2 linked regions of the Saccharomyces cerevisiae S288C genome follow. The protein of the gene in region 2 interacts with the protein of the main gene of each other region in a biochemical or structural test. Each region holds a gene or a part of one and is shown on either strand. Other genes may lie near its edges.

What was found. The genes of interacting proteins can lie anywhere in the genome.
Region 1: the proteins of UBC4 (region 2) and APC11 form a complex in vitro, tested with the Saccharomyces cerevisiae proteins (22 studies listed by BioGRID).

The regions. Positions count from the first base shown.
Region 1 is NC_001136.10:431,466-437,159, reverse strand, and holds APC11 (anaphase promoting complex subunit 11), read right to left. Parts: upstream 3,664-5,694; coding exon 3,166-3,663; downstream 1-3,165. Other genes in the region: YDL007C-A (uncharacterized protein), read left to right, coding at 336-593; YDL009C (uncharacterized protein), read left to right, coding at 3,912-4,235; glutathione-disulfide reductase GRX6, read right to left, coding at 4,135-4,830; YDL012C (uncharacterized protein), read left to right, coding at 5,643-5,687. UniProt on the Saccharomyces cerevisiae protein: Probably catalytic subunit of the anaphase promoting complex/cyclosome (APC/C), a cell cycle-regulated E3 ubiquitin-protein ligase complex that controls progression through mitosis and the G1 phase of the cell cycle.
Region 2 is NC_001134.8:406,128-410,655, forward strand, and holds UBC4 (E2 ubiquitin-conjugating protein UBC4), read right to left. Parts: upstream 1,043-4,528; coding exon 996-1,042; intron 901-995; coding exon 501-900; downstream 1-500. Other genes in the region: TEC1 (Tec1p), read left to right, coding at 3,042-4,502. UniProt on the Saccharomyces cerevisiae protein: E2 ubiquitin-conjugating enzyme that catalyzes the covalent attachment of ubiquitin to other proteins. Mediates the selective degradation of short-lived and abnormal proteins. Mediates ubiquitination of PEX5.

The sequences.
Region 1 (5,694 bases), on a different chromosome or scaffold from region 2:
TCGTTCCAACATCACTAAATTCCCGTAATTACCACCGCAAAAGAAAAAAGAATACAAGAAATGGAAAACTAGCGCATAATTTTGTTTCTTTCTTTTTCAAAGTTGCAGCCGCTACTATTGATTCGTTTGAAAATAGCACTTGGCGGCTAAACTACCGGCATAGAAAGTGGATCGGGCAAAATTAAAAGGGAAAGAGCGACGGGGTTACGGGACCATTACATAAAAAAAGTATCACAAAATCTATTGTATGCAAAGATATAAACCATCACATTATTGAAATAATATCGTTCTTGATACTTCCATAATCCAAGAAAAATATTTCAAGCACTTTCTTGATGTTCCTTCCTATAATTTTTCACACCATCCTAACCCTCCTGAACTTTGGTAAATATTACTGTTTACCTATTCAAGAAGACGATGATAAATCAGGAAAAGAAATTGAACAAATTTTAGACAATAACATCGAGTCATTAGGACTACTACTAAATTCGATGTCCTTATCCTCGAACTTTACGACAGGCGATCCTGAACTAGATTCGCTCTTCCAAGATGATTTAATCCCCGAGTTATATAGTGTATTAGATGGCTTCTAACACCAAGTATGTGTATTCTAAGGGTATACAAAATAAATACTGCGATACTATTCAATTCTTCAACAGCAGCTTACTAGATGTAAAATTAGTTACTTCAATTTATACTGTCACTTTTGCATATTTTCAATAGAATAAAATTACCGACGTCTGCCTATTTCTTCCATTGATGGATATATTTCTTTCTCTATCTCATTGCTTGTTACAACACCAAAAGTTTTGCTAAGAATGTGTATAGGAAACAAAAGCCAGAAGTCATTTCGTTCCAAGCCTTTAAGCGCCTAATAGTGAACTTTGCACCGCATACGTTAGCTTATGGTATGTGTGGTAATGTGTGAATTGTTTGTGATATGTAAAAAAAAAAAAAAAAAGGCCACGCTCAAGCACACAATGAAATAAAATTTAAATTTCGGGGCCATTCTACCGTTGGTTTTGCTATCTGCCGGAAAGAGGAAGTCCACAAGTGCCAAAAACTGTCAGTTACATTTTAAAAATAATCGAAATTTATTTTCTTTTGCTATCTCGGTTAAATATTGATGTGTGATTTGGCATAGTTGGCCATTGTCTTATGATTTCTGATTCTACGACGTTCCAATTTTTTATAATCAGTTCAATAATAATAATACATCGATCGGTCGGTCATATTCTTTTCTTTCTTTTTCTGTCAAGGCGTTACTGACGCGACACACAAGCGGCAGGTATAGTGACGTTTTCCGTTGAATGAAGTAATTCTAATGAACCTACGGTTCTCAATAGCATTGGCAGAGGCAGCTGATAAATGTACAGTAGTTTTTACCAGGAAATCCAGCGAGTATTACACATCCGTAGACGCGCTATGTTTTTCCTCAGGTTATCTTTCAGTAATGCTTGAGATCTCTAAAGGAAGTATACACAGTAATAGTGTGACCCAAAAGTTGTTAAAATTTCCGGAGGTAGCCATTATATACCAATTTTTGTATAAATTTACAGGATTAGAAGGTACCTAAAAAACTATAACATGTCAAGAAAGGCCTCTGAGAAGTGAAACAATACTTCCAAGCACAAATATATATTAATAGAATAATGACTGCTTGGTAGTTGAGAGATTACATGTATTGCATAGTGACTGAAAAAATTTAGTATAATTGCTATGTTGCTAGCACAGTGTTAGAATAGGGGCAGATCATTTGTATCATATAATGGGGTATGGAGAACAGGTACCAATTGGGCATATTGAATATTTCGAATATGATGTTATCTCCAAGAATGTACATCATGTCCATTGTGACATTTCATGGTTTTATATATGGGGTTTCTGCATTTTTCAACAAACATCTCTTTTATAAGCTTTGCGCTAGTTATGGTATTTATTTTTCAAATTAATAACTTACAAATAAACAAAACTTTCTCAACTAAATATTTATTTCTTCCCTGTAGACTGTAAAAATTTCGGAAGCAAAAATAAACCTCCCTGAATGTTAAAGGTGATTATTAGGTGAATAATTTGATAATTGTTGCAATTCCACTGTTTGTAAATTCTATAGTATTATGTATACAGAATACAGCTTCCTTTAACTTCGACGACAATTTCTCATAACCTTATGTCATCATCTAATACCGTACATGATAACACACTATAAGAATTGAGAAACAGTCATCAGATGAGATGGAAGCTGCAAATGCAAGCATTGAAAATATAATAAATAACGAATGATAACAAAAAATGTGGGGAAGAAAAAACAACATTACCATGTATGATTCTTGCTTCCCTCTTGTAGTATCCTCTATCTTGTAAGAGACGTTGTGATATACTGAATACCCAGTAATATTCCCGCTATCTAGAATGAAAATTGTTGGAATTGAACTCTAATATCATCTATTTAATATTATATTATCACATGCGGTGTAAGAAGATGACATAAAGATTGAGAAACAGTCATCCGATCTAATGGAAGCTGAAATGCAAGGATTGATAATGTAATAGGATAATGAATGACAACGCATAAAAGGAAAGAAGATAAAATAATAACATTATGTAGAACTATCGATTCCCTTTTGTGGATTCCTATATCCTCGAGGAGAACTTCTAGTATATTCTGTATACCAATATTATAGCCTTTAGCAACAATGGAATCCCAACAATTATCTAACAACTCACATATTTCTCAAAAATAACACAATTTTATGAAAGTTCACATAATTGAGTTAGAGCTTGAAATACTCTAACTTACAATCAAATGAACACAAATCAGAAGCTTCTATGGCCAAGTTGGTAAGGCGCCACACTAGTAATGTGGAGATCATCGGTTCAAATCCGATTGGAAGCATATTTTTATGTATTCTAAGTATGCAACGATACCGCTGTCATCGTTAGCATGATTAGTACACTGTTGTTCTTTTTCAATCTAACAACCTTAACTTCAGTTCCGGCTACAGTACATCTATTCAACGATTGGAAAAGAAAATTTTTTTATCTTTAGCTGCAACAAGAAAAAATCAATATTAAATTTTCATTTAAGTATACAGAATGTTAACAGCGTTCACAAGAAAAGAACCGTATGGAAATATAGCTAATTGTGATTTCTAAGTTTCTTTTTTATCGTAACAAAAAGTCTTCGTCCAGGATGGTATCAACTTGCTGTCTACCGATTGGGTTATCGGTGTTTTGCCTTATTGGTTCATCAAAGTCCACAAACTCTTCTGCGACGCCCTCCTCTATCATTTCTTCTCTTCTTCTTGAAACTATTTCAACGAACTTTTGGACATGAGCGTCATTAATTGCTAGACCCTTCTGTAGCTGGAAAGTTTGCCTACACATCGGACACAGTCCTTTTGAGGTTGGTGTATCAAGCCAACGGTATATACAATGATCATGGAAGTTATGATGACATAGCCCAATCACTAAAGGGCATTGATCGCCTGGAAATTTACAGCTTGGACAGGTACCGTTATAACTGGCACGACAGATACCACAGACATCCTCGTCTTCATCATTGCCAATTGGATCGTTATTGGCTGCGTCCTCATCAGATGTGCTAGGGATGTGCCATGACCAAGCAAACACACTGTGCACTTCGTTTATTTTAACTTTCATATTTTTATAATCTGTATTGCCACTTTGCTTGTTAAACTCTCCCGATATTGTACAAAGTTTTTGAAGAATGCATTATTTTTTTATCTGCAGACACGGAAGATACAAAAGTTATCTCGGCAGCTTACCCTTTATATCGAATGCAGGCGTAGACAAAAGTGCGTTGCATAACTTACCAAGGTGAAGTGCATGGACCAGCAAAGGATAGAAGTTATTGTAAACATCGAAACCATAAACTTATATATGTATATATGAAGGCATTAAGCGTTTTATGTTTTCACAACCCTTTTAAGAGATGTCTTGGACAAAAAAGCTTCTTCGTTGGTGATAGCTTCTTTATTCCAACTCCGAAACGCCTTGTGCTAGGAAAACTACGCCTTTCCAACTACACTGCATTTCACGACCTAATCATTCACGACCTCTTTATTTATATATTTATTCTTAATTTTTTCTTCTTTCCTTTTTGTAACAATTTCAATTATTGGAAGGTTTTTCACGTTGCTCAACCGAGAATTTACCATCACTCCAGACTTGTAATGATTCTAAAAGTTTCCCTTGAGTGTGCAGTTTCTTGATTTCTTCATTACCTCCTCTTGATACTCCATTAACCAAAAGGTTTGGAACAGTTCCTCTACCGGTCACCAACTTGATATATTCTTGCAGCTCTTCCCCATGTCCATGTTTGTCAAGTTCTATAATATAGTAGTTTGGGATAAACTGATACTCATTTTCAAGCAGTTCCTTCATGCCCTTGCTATATGAACAGGTGCTTTTACTAAATATTATAATCGGAGACAAGTCTAGTATGAGGGAGTATTCTTTTTGAACATTAAAAGCTTTGGTTATTCGCGACCCTTTATCGTTTTTAATGGCCGACAAACTATCATCAACCGATGCTATGGGCTGTTGGAGTCCCACCTTCTGTTTTATTTCATTAATTTCTTCGTCTACTTCAGAGCTCCCCTTATTCGTGGTAGAAGTCGGCATAGCAGCATATTCCCTGGAAGATCCTCCAGCCATATTGTCCATATTAGTACTAAATGCTTTAGAAGTTTCCTCTTTTATCTCTACCGTCAAGAAGTTCGCATTTTGCGCTACGAAAAACACTAACAACAATAATAGCGTTGTAATGCTTAAAATTCTAGCATTTCTCTTATTGGAAGGTATCATAATAAAATTGTTTCTATATTAAACCGCTAGGTTGCTAAGGTTTCGTCTTTTCTATCTTACGATAATTTGCTTAAAAGTTCATTTAGAGAATAGATAGTGATCTTTCCCAGTATAATGTTTTCCCGATTTCGCGAACGCTCCGCCTCAGGCGCCCCGGGACGCGTCATGCGCGTTCCAGAAAGTTAACTAACTGCTAGTGCATTCAATTTCTCAAGGCGTAGTATTTGGGATCTATAAAGCCTTCGACATTAAGCACTATGCTTAAAAGCGAACAGCCTGCGCCACTACTTAAGAGCGAATCTTGTGTGGAGGGATGACTAGGTCCAAAGAGGGAGAAAAGGATCTTGCGGAAAAGTCAACAACACTAATCGGTAGCTGAGTCTGTCAGTGCATCCTTACTGGCTTACTATTTTCATTCATGCTGCAAGTAGATTATCCTCTAGTTAAATTAAACGCGGATGAACTACGCCATTAAATCCATCATAAGAAACTAATTACTACTTTTAGGAAATTAGCCAACTAAAAACTGCTGAAACGCCACATTTCACATAAAACCCCACGGAGCAGTAATGGGAGATCTTAAGCTCAGCCCAGTACATATGTCCATCAGCCTTGAATAGCCACGGTGAGTTCTCGAAGCTTCCTTCCACCTAGTCCAGAATATTTCTTGGTAAATGGCTCGAAGTTTTCGTATTAAACGATGCTATCAGCGGCATCGTGAAATATTGAAATATAAAAAGTATTTACGCAACCGAAAAGGATATTAAGACAAACCCATACAATAGCCCATAAACCAAGCAAATACACATCTCATGTCAGCTCAAGATTATTACGGAAACTCTGCCTCCAAACAAAGCGTACGTT
Region 2 (4,528 bases):
TTGATTACATATACTAGCTATGCGTTGAACTTCAAAAATTTAAATAGGCTTCACCCCAGAAATGATGTTAATGACAATAGTAATTAACCTACAGATAGACTAGAAATGAAAAAGGTACGGTTAACGTTGACGCTCCCTCGACAAGTTAGGTCAAATATGAACCACAACTGAAATATATGCGGGATATACCCGCGCTTGCGTGCATGTAACTAAGCAAAAATTCTCCATACTGTTCGAGGAAAAAAATGTTCATGAATCTCCCCTGAATAAATTAAATTAAGGTTTACGATTCGAGTTGTTTGGAAAAAAAAAAAAAGGTTCCCCTGTACTGTTGCCAACAATAGTCTTATATCTTATATCAGTAAATCTATGTTATTAGAGATAGAATATACATATATTTTATTGTATTCTTTCTTAAATACATTGTATCTAATATTCTTTTCATCGTCCAATCCCATATAAATCTTGCTTCTCTTTTTCAGCTGAGTAAGGACTTCTGTTTATACAGCGTATTTCTTTGTCCATTCTCTGGCTGTAGCTTCGTACTTGGGTCTGTCAGTCTTGTAGATATGAGCGATTTCTGGTACTAAAGGATCGTCAGGATTAGCGTCTGTTAACAAAGAACAGATGGATAATAGGACCTTCGATAGAGTTAGAGCTGGAGACCATTGATCCTTTAGGATGTCCAGACAGATGTTACCATTGGCATTGATATTTGGATGATATATCTTGGTTGTGAAGGAGATCTTTGGTGGCTTGAATGGGTAGTCGGTTGGGAAATGGATAGACAAGAAGAAAACACCGCCGGCATATGGGGAATCGGCAGGTCCCATGATGGATGCTTGCCAGTGATATAGATCATCGCCGACTGGACCGGCTGAACATGAAGTAGGTGGATCTCTAGTTCAATAGCATGTTGATTTTGTTAGTAAATAAGAGCATAAGTTTTAAAAAAAAAGCACGCATTTGAAACGTGGCCATAACTTTAGACATACCTTTCTAGATCACTTAGTTCTTTAGCAATACGTTTAGAAGAAGACATGTTTTTTTGGATGCTTGTTTATGTATGTACTCTATAGTCAGTGAAATTTATTTACTTGTGGCGATAGTGATTTTCCTGGCTTCTTTACTTTATTTTTTTTCAGGATAGATTTATTCTCTGGATTATTTATTAAGATGAAAAATAAGAATAAAGAAAAAGAAAGAAGGATGAAGAAAAAAGAAAAATACAGGCCAAGGCCTTTCAAGGTGAGCTGTTGCCAGGTTTTTCCGCAGCGGGAAAAATCTCGCAGACCATGTGACCGCCGGTACTCCTTTTCCTGTTGCTCGGCCATTTGATCCTCGCTTCGAGAAAAACTATAACAATTGATTAGTGCGGAGAGGAGGATAGGCGGTAAGATCAGTTTTGTTTATTGTATAAATGAGATACTTTGGAATAAGGACATTAGCCTTATGTTACATCATTTCTTATCACGTAAGACTACTTATTGTCAAACTTTTTATGAAGTCATAAGGTGGACATATGAATAGTGCAGTTACCCTTGTTCAGGAATGACACCTTGTGCATTCCAGTGAGAAAGGAATGTTGACTAAAACAGTAGCTGTGCTTTTTTTTTTCTTTTTTGCCTTTTTATTCTTAATGTTCAAGAAAACTTTCTTTCCATGGAATGTATGAGGACCCTTTATTTTGAGGAATGGGTTCGAATTTATCATGCAAATTGGCAAGAATTTACTAAGTGGACTATATTTAAAGAGTTGAATTTTACGGTGAAAGTAAATTAACGCTACTTCTGTTGTTTTGGAAAAGCCAAGTTCAAGTTTCTTTTCTTGATTATTTATTCTCGTAACGATTTCGCTTTTCCTCTCTATATATTTTCCTACTCCATTCTGTAAAGAGCTTCCAGAACAAAATATAAATAAATAAAAAAAACTTCTCTTCAGGCAAGAGTACGTTCTTCGCTGGTTTCCTACAGAATCAAAAGAGTACTGCAGCTTATTGTACACACTTACAATATTCAAAACATGTGTGGCCTACTCGGTTCCTGGCAAGGTTAAGCCAAGTGGTGTAGTTACCAGAAAAAAGTGAACACATACAAGATACGATGCGTAAGTACATAAGGTATGACAGCCTGTAACAAATCCACGTTAGATTTATATCTTCTAGGCTGAGAATCTGGCAGGTTTTAGCAAAACATATATAACTTGCTCTCATTAAGCGGGCTCACTGCTTAAGCGATTGTTACCTGGAACTACAGGCAAGTACAATAGCCTCCTCCAGCTTTTGACTCTGAAAAAAAGGTAACGAAAGAAACTTTTCACACAGATAGGAACTATTCTAATATTACAGTAAAGCCAGCTATGGAATAACAGGTGGCATGTGCCCACTGTATTCATGTATGAGCGGCCTTTTTTTTCCACGAAAACAGATATGATGATGTTTTAGGCCAAAATGGTGAGATCCTTTTACAGGAAGATTTTACGCCAACTCTTTCCATTTAGTGACACAGGTGAGGGTCTTTTATCGGCGCAAGGTGTTTCAGATGAGCCATTTTGCCCGTAGTCCGGTTTAATCAGCCTCATTGGAATTCCCCGGCACCGCTCGCATTCCGCGTACGACTCAAAGAATTTCCCATTGAATTCGGGAATGTGCGTGTTTCAGATTGCGTTTGCTTATTATTCTGGGAAACTCTCCGGAAACAAGCTGAGCTGGACTCCACGAATGGTCCCTCACAAGGCTCTTGGCTCATGCACAGTTAAAAAGCACCTGTAGCTACCATCAGCAATCCATGGTGCTGGAGTTTCTCTCGATGGTACGGCCCATAGCTGGAGAAAATAGCTTATTACCAAAAAAGTAATTCCCCCGCAGAGGTATATATTAAGTTTGAAACAAAAGGCTTGCTTAATTTTTTACATATGACAACCCTTTTCTTACTTTTATAAATGTTTATGAAACAGGAGATTCTTCGACTGGTGCCAGATTCCTCCCATATCGACAAGAAGAATAATCCACCTATTTCAACAATTCTGATACCTGTTTAACCATGAGTCTTAAAGAAGACGACTTTGGCAAGGATAATTCTAGAAATATAGAATCATATACTGGTAGAATTTTTGACGTATATATACAAAAAGATTCGTATTCACAGTCGGCCTTGGATGATATGTTTCCAGAAGCCGTAGTTTCAACCGCCGCTTGTGTGAAAAATGAAGCGGAGGATAACATCAATCTCATAGACACGCATCCTCAATTCGAACTGGTAAATACTGGACTGGGTGCTAAATCGGACGATTTGAAATCTCCATCAGCAAAGGCTACGTTCACTGACAAGCAGAGGAAGAATGAAGTACCAAATATATCTGTGAGCAACTACTTTCCCGGACAAAGTAGCGAAACGTCGTCAACAACGGAATCTTGGACTATCGGTTGTGATAAGTGGTCAGAAAAGGTAGAAGAGGCATTCCTTGAGGCACTTAGACTGATAATGAAAAATGGGACCACAAAAATAAAAATAAGAAATGCCAATTTTGGAAGAAACGAGCTGATTTCATTATATATCAAGCACAAAACCAACGAGTTCAGAACCAAAAAGCAAATTTCTTCCCATATTCAAGTCTGGAAGAAGACCATACAAAACAAAATCAAGGACTCGCTGACCCTATCATCAAAGGAGAAGGAGCTTCTACACCTTATCGAACATGGCGCTGAACAAACTACTGAAAACTCAAACCTGTTTTATGACATATTTGAAGAAATTATCGACTCTCTACCTTCAGTCAGTGATTCTGGAAGTTTAACCCCTAAAAACCTCTATGTAAGTAATAATAGCAGTGGATTGTCAGTACATTCAAAACTGCTTACGCCAATCACTGCTTCCAACGAGAAAAAAATTGAAAATTTCATAAAAACTAATGCTGCATCTCAAGCCAAAACCCCCCTCATTTACGCTAAGCACATTTATGAAAACATAGACGGCTACAAGTGCGTTCCGTCAAAGAGGCCTCTTGAACAACTTTCCCCCACGGAACTCCACCAGGGAGATCGCCCCAATAAGGCTAGCTTTTCCAACAAGAAGGCAATCCTGGAGAGTGCAAAAAAAATCGAAATAGAGCAGAGAAAGATAATCAACAAATACCAAAGAATTTCCCGCATACAAGAACATGAAAGTAATCCTGAGTTCAGTTCCAATTCCAATTCCGGTTCAGAGTACGAATCGGAGGAAGAAGTAGTCCCAAGATCAGCCACAGTCACACAACTCCAAAGCAGACCAGTGCCATACTACAAGAATAATGGAATGCCCTACTCACTCTCCAAAGTACGAGGAAGGCCCATGTATCCAAGACCTGCTGAAGATGCTTACAATGCCAATTATATTCAAGGTCTGCCCCAGTACCAAACATCTTATTTTTCGCAGCTGTTATTATCATCACCCCAGCATTACGAACATTCTCCACATCAAAGGAACTTTACGCCATCCAACCAATCGCATGGGAACTTTTATTAAATGTCTACATACATACATACATCTCG